4 linked regions of the Macaca mulatta genome follow. The protein of the gene in region 1 purifies or fractionates together with the protein of each later gene. This does not show direct contact. Links are inferred from orthologs where the notes say so. Each region holds a gene or a part of one and is shown in the gene's direction. Other genes may lie near its edges. The genes, in order: PTP4A2, CNNM4, RABGGTB and CNNM2.

The links.
Region 2: the proteins of PTP4A2 (region 1) and CNNM4 purify together in Homo sapiens (affinity purification with mass spectrometry; 6 studies listed by BioGRID and IntAct, counting the BioPlex papers as one, with this or other methods). This does not show direct contact. The link is inferred for Macaca mulatta from reciprocal best matches to the Homo sapiens genes PTP4A2 and CNNM4.
Region 3: the proteins of PTP4A2 (region 1) and RABGGTB purify together in Homo sapiens (affinity purification with mass spectrometry; 3 studies listed by BioGRID and IntAct, counting the BioPlex papers as one, with this or other methods). This does not show direct contact. The link is inferred for Macaca mulatta from reciprocal best matches to the Homo sapiens genes PTP4A2 and RABGGTB.
Region 4: the proteins of PTP4A2 (region 1) and CNNM2 purify together in Homo sapiens (affinity purification with mass spectrometry; 4 studies listed by BioGRID and IntAct, counting the BioPlex papers as one, with this or other methods). This does not show direct contact. The link is inferred for Macaca mulatta from reciprocal best matches to the Homo sapiens genes PTP4A2 and CNNM2.

What each region holds. Positions count from the first base shown.
Region 1 is NC_133406.1:208,945,208-208,949,324, forward strand, and holds the start of PTP4A2 (protein tyrosine phosphatase type IVA 2), read left to right. Parts: upstream 1-1,289; 5' UTR 1,290-1,507; coding exon of another isoform or gene 1,508-1,531; intron 1,532-4,117.
Region 2 is NC_133418.1:5,456,806-5,460,370, forward strand, and holds part of CNNM4 (metal transporter CNNM4 precursor), read left to right. Parts: intron 1-434; coding exon 435-604; intron 605-947; coding exon 948-1,044; intron 1,045-2,447; coding exon of another isoform or gene 2,448-2,510; intron 2,511-3,565. UniProt on the Homo sapiens protein: Probable metal transporter. The interaction with the metal ion chaperone COX11 suggests that it may play a role in sensory neuron functions. May play a role in biomineralization and retinal function.
Region 3 is NC_133406.1:164,782,346-164,785,499, reverse strand, and holds the end of RABGGTB (geranylgeranyl transferase type-2 subunit beta), read left to right. Parts: intron 1-31; coding exon 32-157; intron 158-1,958; coding exon 1,959-2,108; intron 2,109-2,383; coding exon 2,384-2,524; 3' UTR 2,525-2,631; downstream 2,632-3,154. UniProt on the Homo sapiens protein: Catalyzes the transfer of a geranylgeranyl moiety from geranylgeranyl diphosphate to both cysteines of Rab proteins with the C-terminal sequence -XXCC, -XCXC and -CCXX, such as RAB1A, RAB3A, RAB5A and RAB7A.
Region 4 is NC_133414.1:115,055,486-115,059,535, forward strand, and holds the start of CNNM2 (metal transporter CNNM2), read left to right. Parts: upstream 1-1,187; 5' UTR 1,188-1,355; coding exon 1,356-2,976; intron 2,977-4,050.

The sequences.
Region 1 (4,117 bases):
AGGGTTCCACTATGTTGGCCAGGCTTGTCTCGAACTCCTGACCTAGTGATCCGCCCGCCTCGGCCTCCCAAAGTGCTGGGATTACAGGCATGAGCCACCGCGCCCGGCCTTTCTCAAGTGTTTTCATACGTTATTATCGATCGTGAAAGCGCCCATGAGGTTGCTGATTATTATTTCTTTCTTTTTTTTTTTTTTGAGACGGAGTCTCGCTTTGTCGCCCAGGCTGGAGTGCAGTGGCCGGATCTCAGCTCACTGCAAGCTCCGCCTCGCGGGTTTACGCCATTCTCCTGCCTCAGCCTCCCGAGTAGCTGGGACTACAGGCGCCCACCACCTCGCCCGGCTAGTTTTTTGTATTTTTAGTAGAGACGGGGTTTCACCATATTAGCCAGGATGGTCTCGATCTCCTGACCTCGTGATCCGCCCGTCTCGGCCTCCCAAAGTGCTGGGATTACAGGCTTGAGCCACCGCGCCCGGCCTATTATTTCCACTTTATAGTTGATAATACTTGGAGAGAGGGAATCACTTGCCCAAGATCCTACATCCTGAAAGTCTGAATTTTGGCTTGTCAGGGACAGTTCTTAGAATGTGTGTGTGTCTTGTGGGCAGAGCCGGGGGTGGCGTATTAATATCCTCCACGAAGATGCACACGCTATTTATTTGGGGCCTCAGGAAGGGCAGCCAAGAACTGAGCTGCCCGGGTTCCCACTTCTGAGTTGGAAATCCCCAAGCACAGGACTTGGTGGCCACCCTGTCCCATCAGGATCTGACCCCAGGCCTGACGGCCTAGGAGCGAGAAAGAACCCTTCGACCTTGCGGGTCACACCTCGGCTGCAGGCCCTCGACCCAGCCCAGGTGCGGATGGGCGGGGCGCAGCGTGGGCGAACGACTCCCCAGGCCACGTTCTGCTTTTCCCTCCCCGGTCACATGGACTCGCCTTCCGTAGCCGGGAGTGCGGAGCAGAACGAACCACCAGGAGGAGGAGCGGGGGAGGTGCCCAGGGCAGTGGGTCAGAGCCCCGCGGGGCAGGTGGGCGGGCCCAACCGCCCGCGAGCCGGCCGGCCAGCCAGTCAGCGAACGCGGAGGGCGGGTCAGCTGCCCATTGAGCCGCGCCCCGCAGCGCCCCCTGAGGGGCGGCGGCGGGAGCTGGTTCCGGCTGCGCGCGCAGCGGTGGTGGCGGCGGCGCGATCGGCCGGGCTGTAACCGTCGTCCGTCCGGGAGTGGCTGGAGCGGCAGCGGCGGCCGGGCACGGCGCGAGGCGACGCCACAGGGCAGCGGCGGCAGCGGGGGCAGCGGCGGCAGCAGGAGACGCAGCGGCGACCGCAGCAGCAGCAGCAAGACGGACTCGTGGAGACGCGCCGCCGCCGCCGCCGCCGGGCCGGGCCGGGTGTCGCGCGCCGAGGCTGGGGGGGAGTCGTCGCCGCCGCCGCCACCGCTACCGCCGCCGCCGCCGCCGCCGAGGTGACTGAGGAGAGAGGCGCCTCCTCGCTCCCGCCGCCGCCGGACTTCAATGCCCAGTCCCCAGCTCGCCAGCGTGAGTGCGCCCCTCCCGGGCGGCCCCCGCGCCGGCGCCGGGGGCCTCGGGGAAGGGGAGGGCGGGAGGCGCTGCAGCCATTAGTACAGGCCGGAGACACGTCCCCGGAAGGAGGGCCGGGCCGGGCCGGGGCGGGGGAGCGAGGGTGGGTGAGCGAGGGGCGGGCTCGTGTGTGTGGAAGGGGGAGAGCTGTGCGAGCGTGGGGGAGAGTGTGAGTTGGTGAAGGGAGGGCGTGTGAGTGGGGGACAGGGCTAAGTGTGCGAGGAGGTGGGGGGAGTGGGAGCGGGTCGGGGGACAGTGTCGATGTTGGGGGAGTGTGGGTGCAGGCGAGGGAGGGTATGGGTGTGCGGGGAGCGTGTGGGCATGAGGGGTGGGGGTACATGAGTGAGAAGTGGGGGAGGAGAGAGTTGAGAGTGTGGTAGAGAGCGAGTGTAGGGGGAGAACATGGTGTGTGTCGGTGAGAAGGTGCGTGGCAGAGGCGGGAGTGTGGCAGGGTGTGCCGGCGTGTGTCCAGTGTGTGAGCAGGCATCCTGGAGGCCCTTCCTCTTCGTCTTTGTGTGTGGCGATAGTGAACCGTGGTGTGTTGGGTTAGGGAGTTCTTTCCGGGAGCATCTTGTCCCTGGGTGCTCAGGTTCAAGTATGAGGAAAGGGGGTATAAGTCTCTTCTAGTGGCACTATGATCTTCTGGCTCTGGGATTTTAATTTTTTTCCCCCCCAGAAAAGATGTGATGTGTTTTTTTTGTTGTTGTTCTATACGTTTTTTTTCTCCCACGTTTCATAACTTCAAAGTAAATTTTCAAATTAGTCAAGGATGCCATCCTATCCTAGTCTGGGTCCCTGAGAGCTAACGAAAAGAAGTGTGTCTGTTGCCCAAGAGCCTACACTCTGGCCTGTAGAGTGTTCAGGAGCATAAACTTTTGTAAAGTACTGCTAGTTTTTCAGGTGAAGAGTATTTTATTGTTAGGTAAATTAAACTATAGGCTAGTTTATTATTTCCTGGAATTTGTCAAGAAATTAGCAGTGACCCGCAGTTCTAGTGTCACTGTAGGCATTCAGCAAATGTTTGTCTGGAGTCACCAAACTACAACCACTGCTGAGTTGGAATATGGTACTTGCTGTCATGCTCTGTAACAGAGTAGTTTCAGAGGGAAGTGAGTGAAGTTATGCCTTGCCGAATGTGCAAAAGGAAATTAAGGATGCAGAATGACACATTATCAGGGCTTCAGAATCACTTGCCAGCACACCATTGTATTGGTGAAGATGGTGAGAAGTTGTTTGCTGGTATTCTGATCTTGGCATTTTTAAGTTTCATAATGAATGGACTAATTATTGTCATGGACTTTTCCCATTCTTGAGTTGTAAAAGTAGGGATTCTTGATGAAGAGTAGTACCTCGATAGGGATTTTACACTTTGATATAATATTAAAAATGATGTTATCTTAAAAATAATTGTCTCTTAGAAGTTGGTAGTCTTTCAGTATAAGCAAAAAGTAGTATGGTCCTTTTGTTGTTGTTGTTTTTTTTTTGAGATGGAGTTTTGCTCTGTTGCCCAGGCTTCCCAGGTTCAAGTAATCTCCCGCCTCAGCCTCCCAAGTAGCTGAGAATACAAGTGTGCGCCACCACACCCAGCTAATTTTCATAGTTTTAGTAGAGACGGGGTTTCACCTTGTTGGCCAGGCTGGTCTCGAACTCCTGACCGCCACTGATTCACCTGCCTTGGCCTCCCAAAGTGCTGGGATTAACAGGCGCGAGGGTGGTCCTTTTGATCGTGAACATAATAGAATTACAGGCAAAATCATTGATGTGTAATTAAAAGTTAGAATTTATATTTTTCGGCTGGGCGTGGTGGCTCACGCCTGTAATCCTAGCACTTTGGGAGGCTGAGGCAGGAGGATCGATTGAGCCCAGGAGTTCAAGACCAGCCTGGGCAACGTGGTGACTCCATTTCTACAGAAAATACAAAAGTTAGGCATGGTAGTATGTGCCTGTAGTTCCAGCTATCCTGGAGGCTGAGGCGAGAGGAACTTGTGATTTCAGGAAGTCAAGGCTGTAGTGAGCCAGTGAGACCCTCTCTCAAAAAAATAAGAAAGAAATAGTAAATAGTATTGTTACTATTCAGTGAGGGAAGGAATTAATTAGTGTTAATTGCCTACTGTGCTACAGGTGCTTTTTATATTCATTTAATTCTCACAACTACAAGAAAGGTGGTCTCTTCATTTGCATCCATTTGGCTTATTTTGAACCACTTCTGTTTGCCCGGCACTAGGGATACAGCGATGAGCTCCCATGGATTTACAGTGGTGAGAAGAAGAGATACAGAAACTTAAAAGGTTAAGTAACTTGTCCCAGGTCACACAGATAAGAAGAATTAGTGCTGGATTAAAAATCCAGGTCTTTGACTCCAAAGCTGTTGATTTTTCCAATACATCATACTGCTGTTTCAATAGCTCATCTTACATTGAGGTTTCTCATCCACATGATGACCTAGCAGCTTGTACTTAGGAGAGCTGTTGAAATAGAGAAGGCTGGAGGCAAGGGGATCATTTAGGAGATGCTGACTGGAGGCTCTTTGGGGCCTAAGCTAGG
Region 2 (3,565 bases), on another chromosome or scaffold:
TAAAGGGATGGTAATTCCCTCTCCATTATTTTTCCTGTGGGATATCGATGCTGATGCAATAATTATAGTCACATATACTAAGCGCTGTCCACGTGCTATCCCATTCGCCCTCACAACCACCCTGTGAAGCTTTTACCCCCATATTACAGATGAGGAGACTGAGATGCGGGTTATGTAATTTGCCCAAGGTCACGTGCGATTCTTGCAGGAGCCACTGTTCAAGCCCGGGCAGGCAGGCAGGCAGCCTCGGGTCCATCCAGTCAGAAGCCAAGCGTGCTCCCTCCCCAGGGAGATACAGAACTGAGGGCCGGCCGAGCAGGGAGGGAGTCTGGCCACAGCGCGGCTACTGTGGTTGGGGTGGACGCACAACAGTGATCCAGCTTTAGGGCCACCCGGCCAGCCCCGTGTAAGGTCTCCTCTCTGTCCTCCTACAGAGGTCCCCCAGTTTAGCCCCTCCCTGATATCAGAGAAGATCCTGCTGCGGCTGCTCAAGTACCCAGATGTCATTCAGGAACTCAAGTTTGATGAGCATAATAAGTACTACGCCCGCCATTACCTGTACACCCGAAATAAGCCGGCCGACTACTTCATCCTCATTCTGCAGGTGAGCCCACTCAGCCCTGGGCCTGCCGCCTGCTCCCCCTGGCACCGCAGCACCCCTCGGGCCCTCTTTCCCACCTGCTGCGGAGGTGCATGGCTTCCCGGCCTGGGGAGCCTGCCGCCTGCCCTCGAGCCCCACCTGCCCCACGTGGCTGTGCTCTCCCTGACAGGATGAAGGAGAGGCTGTGCTCTCCCTTAATCCCACAGGTCAGGCCCCTGAGCTCTCCAGGGCTCCAGTACCGGCCCTTCCTCCTGCCCCACCATCCCTTGTTCCTTACTCCCCATCCTGCCTCATCCTTTCTTTCCTCCCTCACTCTGTCTCTAACCCCAGCCCTGTGTGTTTTCAGGGGAAGGTGGAGGTGGAGGCAGGGAAGGAGAACATGAAGTTTGAGACGGGCGCCTTTTCCTACTATGGGACTATGGCCCTGACCTCGGTCCCCTCTGGTGAGTTGTTGGGCAGGGTCTGTGCTGCACTCTGGCCCCCTGCAGCTGGGGAGCCGTGGACAGACACCAGAACTGAGCGTGGGCCCGAGAGCTCATAGCCAGTTGGCTGGGGCAGAGGGAGGCTTGTGAGGTGGGAGCCGCCAGGGCCTGGAGTGGGTGGTATGGAGGAGCGGAGGGAGCTGCCCCTTTGGATGGAGTCCAGAAACTGGAGGGGAAGAGAGGAGAGAGGGATTTTAGAGCAAAGGCCAGGAGGCAGTGGAGGGCATGTCCAGAGGTGGTGAGGAGACCAGTCTGCCTGGGGAGGAGGCCTGTGGGGAGGAAGGCCCAGGGCCCTGCTCCTGAGGACAGGAGGGGAGTCTGGGCGTCCAAAGTGCCTGAGGTCAGGAGCCAGGCGAGGGCCTGTTTGCCAGGGCAGGCTACAGATGGGTTTGGCTTTCCGAGGGACGCGGCTACTGGGTTTTGGTTAGAGGTCAGCTCCGATGGAATAAAGGGCCTTGGGGACAGACAGAAGGGAGACTGGGCACCCCCTGAGAGGTGTGATGGAAGGTGTGGGGACGCGCCGCTCTGGCCGCCCCAGTGCCCTCTCCGGTGCTGAGTGGCTCAGGCTTTCCCCGCAGAGCCCCGCAGACAAAGCCCTGCAGGCCCAGGCCTCGCCAGCTCATCTCCTCGCTCCTCTCCAGCCTTCGGTCCTGGGGCGAGGCTGCTGCAGGGTAGAGAGAGAAAGTCCACTTTGGTGCTGGAGAACAGGCCACGCCAGTGGGGTACATGCTGCAGTTCCCAGAGCAGCTCTGTGCTGTGCCTCATTGTCCTTTGACAGAAAGGACCCCGAGGGGGCATGGGGGTAGGGCACCCATGAATATTGACACCCAGCTCAGCTTACCCACCGTGTCGTCGGCCCCTCCACCAGATGAGTGGGGCATGGCAGGCTCCCTGGGCAGGGGACAGACAGGGCCCCAGAGAGGGGCTCTGAGCAGGTGGACCCTGCCAGATGCCTGAGGCCTGGGGAGGACTTCCTGTGCCTCCAAGAGCAGCTGTTCTCTGTTCAGCTTGAGGAAATCTCATTCAGAAGGGCGGGCAGGCACGGGAGGCCTCCCCCAGGCACTGCTTGTGCAACGAAGCCTCGGAGGCCTGGTCCCTCCACCCGTAGTCTCTCTGTTCCCACTTAGTGTGGCCAGAAGGGAGGGGAGATGACTGGGCATACTCAGCCAGCTTCTGCCCATCTCCGCACAGGGCTCATTGCTGTGCCCTGAGCACCCTTCACATCAGAGCCACGTCCCTTTCTCCACTGGGCCCGTCTCTGCCCAAAGCAGCCTGGCCCCGTCAGGTCTGCCTCTGTCCTGTGCCTGTGGCTCCGTGTCCTGTCTCCTGACTGTGCCCATCACTGACCTTCTCTTTTGCTCCAGTGCCTTCAGTCCAGGTCGGGTGTCCGCCTGGCAAGCGGAACTCCCTGCTCTGCTGGCTCACAGGTAACGTGGCATGTCTGAGGGGCACGCTGCTGCCTGCTGCCTGAGCCTGCACACTGCGGCTGCATTTACCTCCCCGCAGGGACCGGGCGCCGCCTGTTCAGTGTTGGCCGCCCGACCTCAGTGGCTCCGACCTCAGTGGCTCTGCTTGGCTGGGGCCCAATTTCTGGGCAGCTTTGCTGCCTCAGCTCTAGAAGGGGCCCCCAAAGGTCTCTTAGTCCTTGAGATCACACACCCATAGACACATACACACAGAGACACACAGATACCACACACAGATATACACACCCACAGACACACACACACACAGAGACACACAGATACCACACAGAGATATACATACCCACAGACACACACACACACACACACACAGACACACAGTGAGATACCACACACAGATATACACACCCACAGACACACACACACACAGACACACAGTGAGATACCACACACAGATATACACACCCACAGACACACACACACACACAGTGAGATACCACACACAGATATACACACCCACAGACACACACACACACACACAGACACACAGATACCACACACAGATATACACACCCACAGACACACACACACACACAGACACAGTGAGATACCACACACAGATATACACACCCACAGACACACACACACACACAGACACACAGTGAGATACCACACACAGATATACACACCCACAGACACACACACACACAAAGACAGATACCACACACAGATATACACACCCACAGACACACACACACACAGACAGATATCACACACAGATATACACACCCACAGACACACATACACACAGAGACACACAGTGAGATACCACACACAGATATACACACCCACAGACACACACACACACAGAGACAGATACCACACACAGATATACACACCCACACACACACACACAGAGACACACAGTGAGATACCACACACAGATATACACACCCACAGACACACACACACACAGAGACACACAGTGAGATACCACACACAGATATACACACCCACAGACACACACACACACAGAGACAGATACCACACACAGATAT
Region 3 (3,154 bases), about 44 Mb from region 1:
ATACACATATACTTTATGTCTGTAATTTTAGATCTATTGTTGCACAGGATTTCTGGCTATTACAAGTCAGTTGCATCAAGTAAATTCTGATTTACTTGGCTGGTGGCTTTGTGAACGACAGTTACCTTCAGGCGGGCTCAATGGAAGGCCAGAGAAGGTATTGTTTGATAAGCTCTGTTCTGCTGACTTTAGAACCTTGAGTGAATGCTGCAGCTTTGTCTTGCCTATTTCAATATTGTAAATTGGCCATGAGCTTATTTATTAACTTTCCCTCTTGCAAATTTTCAGTAATGCGTCCTACTAAAAGACTCCCCTTGGCAAAAGTAGAGCCCCGTGAGTTGAAATACTCATTGATCCTGATGTCCATTTCCAGACAGTCTTGCACAGGAATCTCCATGTTTAAGGACAGTTGGTTTTGGCAAATTGGATTTTTAAAAAATTAGGCTACAGAATTTTTGTTTACAGTCTTCTTATTTAAGGAATACCCAGATAATTTAGTTTGGAGAGAGGATATTATTAAATTTTCCTCCACATGATAGGTCCCTATATCAGGTCTGTAAGGGACAAACAGTGAATACTCATTTGCAACTATGTGATTTTCCTGTAGAGCAAGTGCAGCCATAAGTGGTAAGAAATGAATGGGTATGACTGTTCCAGTTAAAATTATTATGGACAGATATACTTATTTCATATGTCAGATTTTTTTTTTTTTTTTTTTTTTTTTTTGAGATGGAATCTTGCTCTGTTGCTCAGGCTGGAGTGAAGTGGCGCCATCTCAGTTCACTGCAACCTCCGCCTCCCAGGTTCAAGCAGTTCTCCTGCCTCAGCCTCCCGAGCAGCTGGGACTACAGGCGCACAGCTAATTTTTGTACTTTTATTAGGGACGGGGTTTCACCATATTGGCCAGGCTGGTCTCGAACTCCTGACTTTGTGATCCGCCTGACTCAGCCTTCCAGAGTGCTGGGATTACAGGCGTGAGCCACTGCGCCTGACCCAGGACTATTTTTAAATGATTTACAAATGTAAAATGTGTTCCTACACTATAGTCTAGATTTGACTCAAGGATTGTAGCTTGCTGTGCCCTCTGAATGGGACGTGGTGGTACAGTAGCTGGGATTACAGGCGTGCGCCACCACGCCCATCTAATTTTGTATTTTTAGTAGAGATGGGGTTTCATCATGTTAGTCAGGCTGGTCTCAAACCCCTGACCTCAGGTGATCCACCCTCCTAAGCCTCCCAAAGTGCTGGGAGTACAGGCATGAGCCACCGTGCTCAGCCTGTATTTTTATTTTTAAACCTCAGTTTTTCTGAGTGACAATGGGCAGAGAAACACCCACAGTTGCTGTCTACAACAGAGTGGAATAAAAAACTTGAGGAACTGTCAACAGAAAAATGGGTGGCCGTGCCTGGGCCTGCATTTGCTCACGATCTAGGGCAGCTTCTAATGGGTCTATGCGTTATTCAAGGATCTCATTAAAATGCAGCCTTGGGTGGGATTTTCTTCCTTACAGACTTATGTCACCATATTTTGAAGAGCTAGAGTTTAGTTGAATTTTAAGCAGGTGTGTACCCACCTGGACAGTGCTGGTAGAAAAACAGAACTGTACCCATGGATTTCATGATTATACTACTAGCTTCTTGGTTAAGGGGCTGAGTTAGGCATTTGTTGCAGATAGAAACAAGGTAGATGCACGCTTATCAGTGAGTACTGAGATATTTAGCATGGTTACCTATGAATTGGAGTTTGGTCTCTTCTTACCCATTAATTGATTATCTTTCATTCTAAGCAAGTATTTCATACCCTACATGTCAGTATATCCCTGGATTTCGTCCCTCCACATGGTTTGACACTTAGAACATCAGATTACTTGAGAGTGAGACTTAATCCACTTTTAAATTGTTCTCAAAATTAGGGAAATAAAAGAGAATGAAATTGTGGCAACTTTTTTCCCTCCTAGTTACCAGATGTATGCTATTCATGGTGGGTCCTGGCTTCCCTAAAGATAATTGGAAGACTTCATTGGATTGATAGAGAGAAACTACGTAATTTCATTTTAGCATGTCAAGATGAAGAAACGGGGGGATTTGCAGACAGGCCAGGAGATATGGCAAGTAATATTTCTGACATATTTGTATAAATTATTTTAGTGTCGCATTCCTTCATGGTTCCATGGATTTCCAGGGTGGTATTCCAAGTGTTGCTTTGAAAGCAGTGTTTTTTTCTATTTCTCGTAGAATGTATGAAGGATATAGAACAATCTTACAGAAATTTCTTGTCGCCTGTTGCTAACAAAATTAGTATATGGTAAAGGTCAGGTATTAATGATTTGAAGTTAAAGAAGTTTTCATTTTGTAATCTGTATATAAATTCTTTTTTAAATAGGTGGATCCTTTTCATACCTTATTTGGAATTGCTGGATTGTCACTTTTGGGAGAAGAACAGATTAAACCTGTTAATCCTGTCTTTTGCATGCCTGAAGAAGTGCTTCAGAGAGTGAATGTTCAGCCTGAGCTAGTGAGCTAGATTCATTAAAGTGAAAGCTGCATAGTATAGTTTTGCCATTTTAACATTTCTGTATTTGAAGTGCTTATTAAATCTAAAAATGAATACTGTTAATATTTTGTACATTGTGTTAAATTAATTTTAATAAATTATATAATTATACATATTGTAAAATAAAGACCTGTATTTTATTTTCTGCTCTTTATTCTGAAGTCCTGTTATTCTGACTACAGTTTTTTGTGTATACTTTTGTGTCTGTTATTTATGTTCAATAACTGAGCTAATGTAGAAGAACTCTAGGTTTCTACTTGATTTTTCTCCCATGTATACCTTTCATGTGTTCTATAGCAAGTTGATGTAAAATGGTTTGTCAACAAGAATGTTAACTGATGAAAGTGGATAGAACCCATACATGAATTAAATGATGCACAAAATAAATGGTTGTTGAAATTTGGAAATGATTCATAGGTTTGAATATGGTTATTCTGAATTAGTCACAGACTTAGGTTAAATGGCAGTCTACCATCTTAAAATGGGGTTGTGATTCGGACTGTACATATTTTTTAGCATTTTATATATCAGAATTACCCAAGGAAGGGGTTACCTTCAAATAAGGAAACACTAACAGTTGAGTTGATGGTCGCCACAGTA
Region 4 (4,050 bases), on another chromosome or scaffold:
GTAGAATACAAAAGAGGTAGAGAAACATTAAACATTTTTAATGTTTTAAGTTTCAAGGAAAAGATCAATTTGACAGCTACTTTGCTACCTCGTCACCTCCAGGTGACGCTGGGAGTACTGGGGAGCTAGGTTTCCAGAACTTTTTGCTCTTGAGTGACCTATGACCCTAGCAGAGTTTGGCCAGTGTGATTAAGAATGAGCCTCTGCGGGTCTGCTTAGGATAGGATGCTTGCCGCCCTCCCATTTCCTTAACTTGCCTGGGTTCCTGTTGGGAATACAGATTCGGGGCCCTTCCCACTCTGTAAATATGGAAAAGGGTCTAGGAAGTATATACTTTTAGTAATAATATGTAGGGGTTCTATGACTAGCAAATTTGGGGAACTGTCCCTCTGACCGCGCCATCCGTAACTTTCTGTACACCTTTCGGGGTATGCCGCGGACCTGGAAAGCGTTGCAGGGCGCCCCTGCGGCCCGCAGGTGGCGCCATGTGATCGCGAGCCGCAGAGAGCGCGTACCCTAGGAGTCTTGAGGCGCGAGGACTGCTGGTCGGCAGCTGTGCCGGGGCCACCGACGCCGCTTACCCCAGCGGAGCGCCGCGCACGTAGAGTTGGGGACAGCGGCCGGTGCCCCGGCTTTTTAGGCTGTGTGCATCCCAAGCCGCCTCTAGTTGGCTTCTCGGGCCCCCGGGGCAGGAGGGCGCTGCGGCTTTCTGCCCACGAACTGACAACTGCAGAGCCAGCAAGCCAGTGCATCGGGAACCTGCCGCCTTGCGCCGCAGGGCTTTAGTCCAAGCCCGGCCGGTCCAGGCTCCCGGATCTACTACAGGGTCCCCCGGGGAGCGCGGGCCCCGGGGACGGCTCCTTCCCATTGGCAGCAGGACGGAGGCCACGCCCCTTTCCTACAACTCTCATCTTTGACTGGCTCTCGAGTCCCAGCTGGCCACGCCCCCTCCCCTCGCACATACACAAGAGTCACGCGCCTTTCAGTTGGAAACTTGGCGTGCAGAGGGGGACGGTGGCTCTCATCGCCCCACCCATTTACCTTGCCATTGGTTCGCGGAACGGCACACGGTCACGCCCCCATTCCAGCCCCCTGGCTGGGAGGGCGGGCGCCCGCTTGTGATTGGCCAGTGGGCCTGCCTCTCGCGGGAGCAGCCGGCGCTCCTCTCCCTCCCTCTGTCCCCTCCCGCGAGCCTCGGGGTTCCTCAGCTGGCCGAGGTCGAGTCAGTGTCAGTCAGGGAGGCGAACTGCTGAGCACTGGCCGCGGACGCTCAGTTGCAGTCTCGCCCAGGGGCAGGTACCTGCGCTCGCGCCGCCGGGTGGAAAGGATGAAGCCGCAGCTGGAGCAGCCACCCTATGATTGGCTGTGGCGCTTGTGAACCCAAAGTAAAGATGGCGGGCGGGCAGGCAGCCGCCGCACTGCCCACTTGGAAGATGGCGGCGCGCCGCAGCCTCAGCGCCCGCGGCCGGGGGGTCCTGCAGGCGGCTGCGGGGCGGCTGCTGCCGCTGCTCCTGCTGAGCTGCTGCTGCGGCGCGGGCGGCTGCGCAGCGGTGGGCGAGAACGAGGAGACGGTGATCATCGGGCTGCGGCTGGAGGACACGAACGACGTGTCGTTCATGGAAGGGGGGGCGCTGCGGGTGAGCGAACGGACCCGGGTCAAGCTGCGGGTGTACGGGCAGAACATCAACAACGAGACGTGGTCCCGCATCGCCTTCACCGAACACGAGCGGCGGCGCCACAGCCCGGGGGAGCGCGGGCTGGGGGGCCCCGCGCCGCCGGAGCCGGACAGCGGCCCCCAGCGCTGCGGCATCCGCACCTCAGACATCATCATCTTGCCCCACATCATTCTCAACCGCCGCACCTCGGGCATCATCGAGATCGAGATCAAACCGCTACGCAAGATGGAGAAGAGCAAGTCCTATTACCTGTGCACGTCGCTCTCCACGCCCGCCCTGGGTGCCGGCGGCTCGGGATCCGCGGGTGGCACCGTCGGGGGCAAGGGCGGCTCGGGGGTGGCCGGGCTCCCGCCACCCCCGTGGGCCGAGACCACCTGGATTTACCACGACGGCGAGGACACCAAGATGATCGTAGGCGAAGAGAAGAAATTCCTGCTGCCCTTCTGGCTGCAGGTGATCTTCATTTCGCTGCTGCTGTGCCTGTCGGGCATGTTCAGTGGCCTCAACCTGGGGCTCATGGCCCTGGACCCGATGGAGCTGCGCATCGTGCAGAACTGCGGCACGGAGAAGGAGAAGAATTACGCCAAGCGCATCGAGCCGGTGCGCAGGCAAGGCAACTACCTGCTGTGCTCACTGCTGCTGGGCAACGTGCTGGTCAACACCACGCTCACCATCCTGCTCGACGACATCGCCGGCTCGGGCCTCGTGGCCGTGGTGGTCTCCACCATCGGCATCGTCATCTTCGGGGAGATAGTGCCCCAGGCCATCTGCTCCCGCCACGGCCTGGCTGTGGGGGCCAACACCATCTTCCTCACCAAGTTTTTCATGATGATGACCTTCCCCGCTTCCTACCCGGTCAGCAAGCTGCTGGACTGCGTCCTAGGCCAGGAGATAGGCACCGTCTATAACCGGGAAAAACTGCTGGAGATGCTCCGGGTCACCGACCCCTACAACGACCTCGTTAAGGAGGAACTGAACATCATCCAAGGGGCGCTGGAGCTCCGCACCAAGACGGTGGAGGACGTGATGACCCCACTCCGGGACTGCTTCATGATCACTGGCGAAGCCATCCTGGATTTCAACACCATGTCTGAGATCATGGAGAGCGGCTACACCCGCATTCCAGTGTTTGAAGGGGAGCGCTCCAATATCGTGGACCTGCTGTTCGTCAAAGACTTGGCCTTCGTGGATCCAGATGACTGTACTCCCCTGAAAACCATCACCAAATTTTATAACCACCCCTTGCACTTTGTTTTCAATGACACCAAGTTGGACGCTATGCTGGAAGAATTTAAGAAAGGTGGGAAATTTTGGTCTCTTTCATTGGCTTGCTCTTTCTCTCTCCATCCTCTTCCCTACTTGAGCCCTCTACCCTCAGACCAACCCCCCAAGGCGAGTTGACCGGGATTTCTCCTTCTCTCTCTTAATTGCAAAGTTGAAAGGGTGGCGTGGATTTGGGGATGGATTGAACTAGTAAGTGCTACTAGGTTATTTTAAAGCACAAGACTGCCATCACTTACTTTTTACCATTATCAAAAAGCAGGCTGTGTAATTTCTGTGCATGACACTTTTTTTTTTTTGGTTCCGTGTGTGGGGCCTCTGTGCTTGAGGGGTCTGCCGCCTTCATTGTCTGGGTTCTCAGTGGGTAGGTGAAGGTAGGGGCTGGCTGATGCCATGCCATTTGGTTGACTTTAATCACAGGCATTTGGAAAACATGTAAATAGCTTTTGTAAACTCAGTGCAGTCGTTTTCCTTCTCCTTAAACATCCACACTGGCCTTTCAAAGATCGAAGTACATTTTCTATAGCTTCTGTTCCTGCTTGCCTGGCAACTTACGGGGAAGATTGAGGTCTGCCTTTGAGGGTAAGGGGCGGGGTAAACTAAGTATCGCCAAAAAAAATCACCCATTTTCGATGTGACTTCTCTTAGCTAGAAAAGTGTTGTTGTTGTTGTTGTTTTAAATTAAAATTACTAATATGTAACTTGGAAAGACTAGCGGTTAGCCAGCCTTTTGTGAAGAGGCTGTATGTCCCGTAGCCTTCTTCACTATTTGTTTACGTTTATCTGACAATAGTTACAGTTGCCCAAACCAAGTGTGATTTTGGCAGAAAGCTTGCACCTTTAACAGTGGGATGAATCCCTCTATTGGGGCTTATTTATTTCTTGACTCTTTCAGTCTAAGTGTTCTTTTTTTCCACCTTGGTCATCCGATACATTAAACTGAATTATGTCTCCGTCAACTCTCACTGTTCCAAGGTGAGAAATTATACAACACATCATTTCTTGCATTGTGGTATTTGTTCGCTTGACCATATAATGAACAGGTAAATAGCAACTTGTACTATTATTATTGAAGTTCTGAATGTTTCCAGTA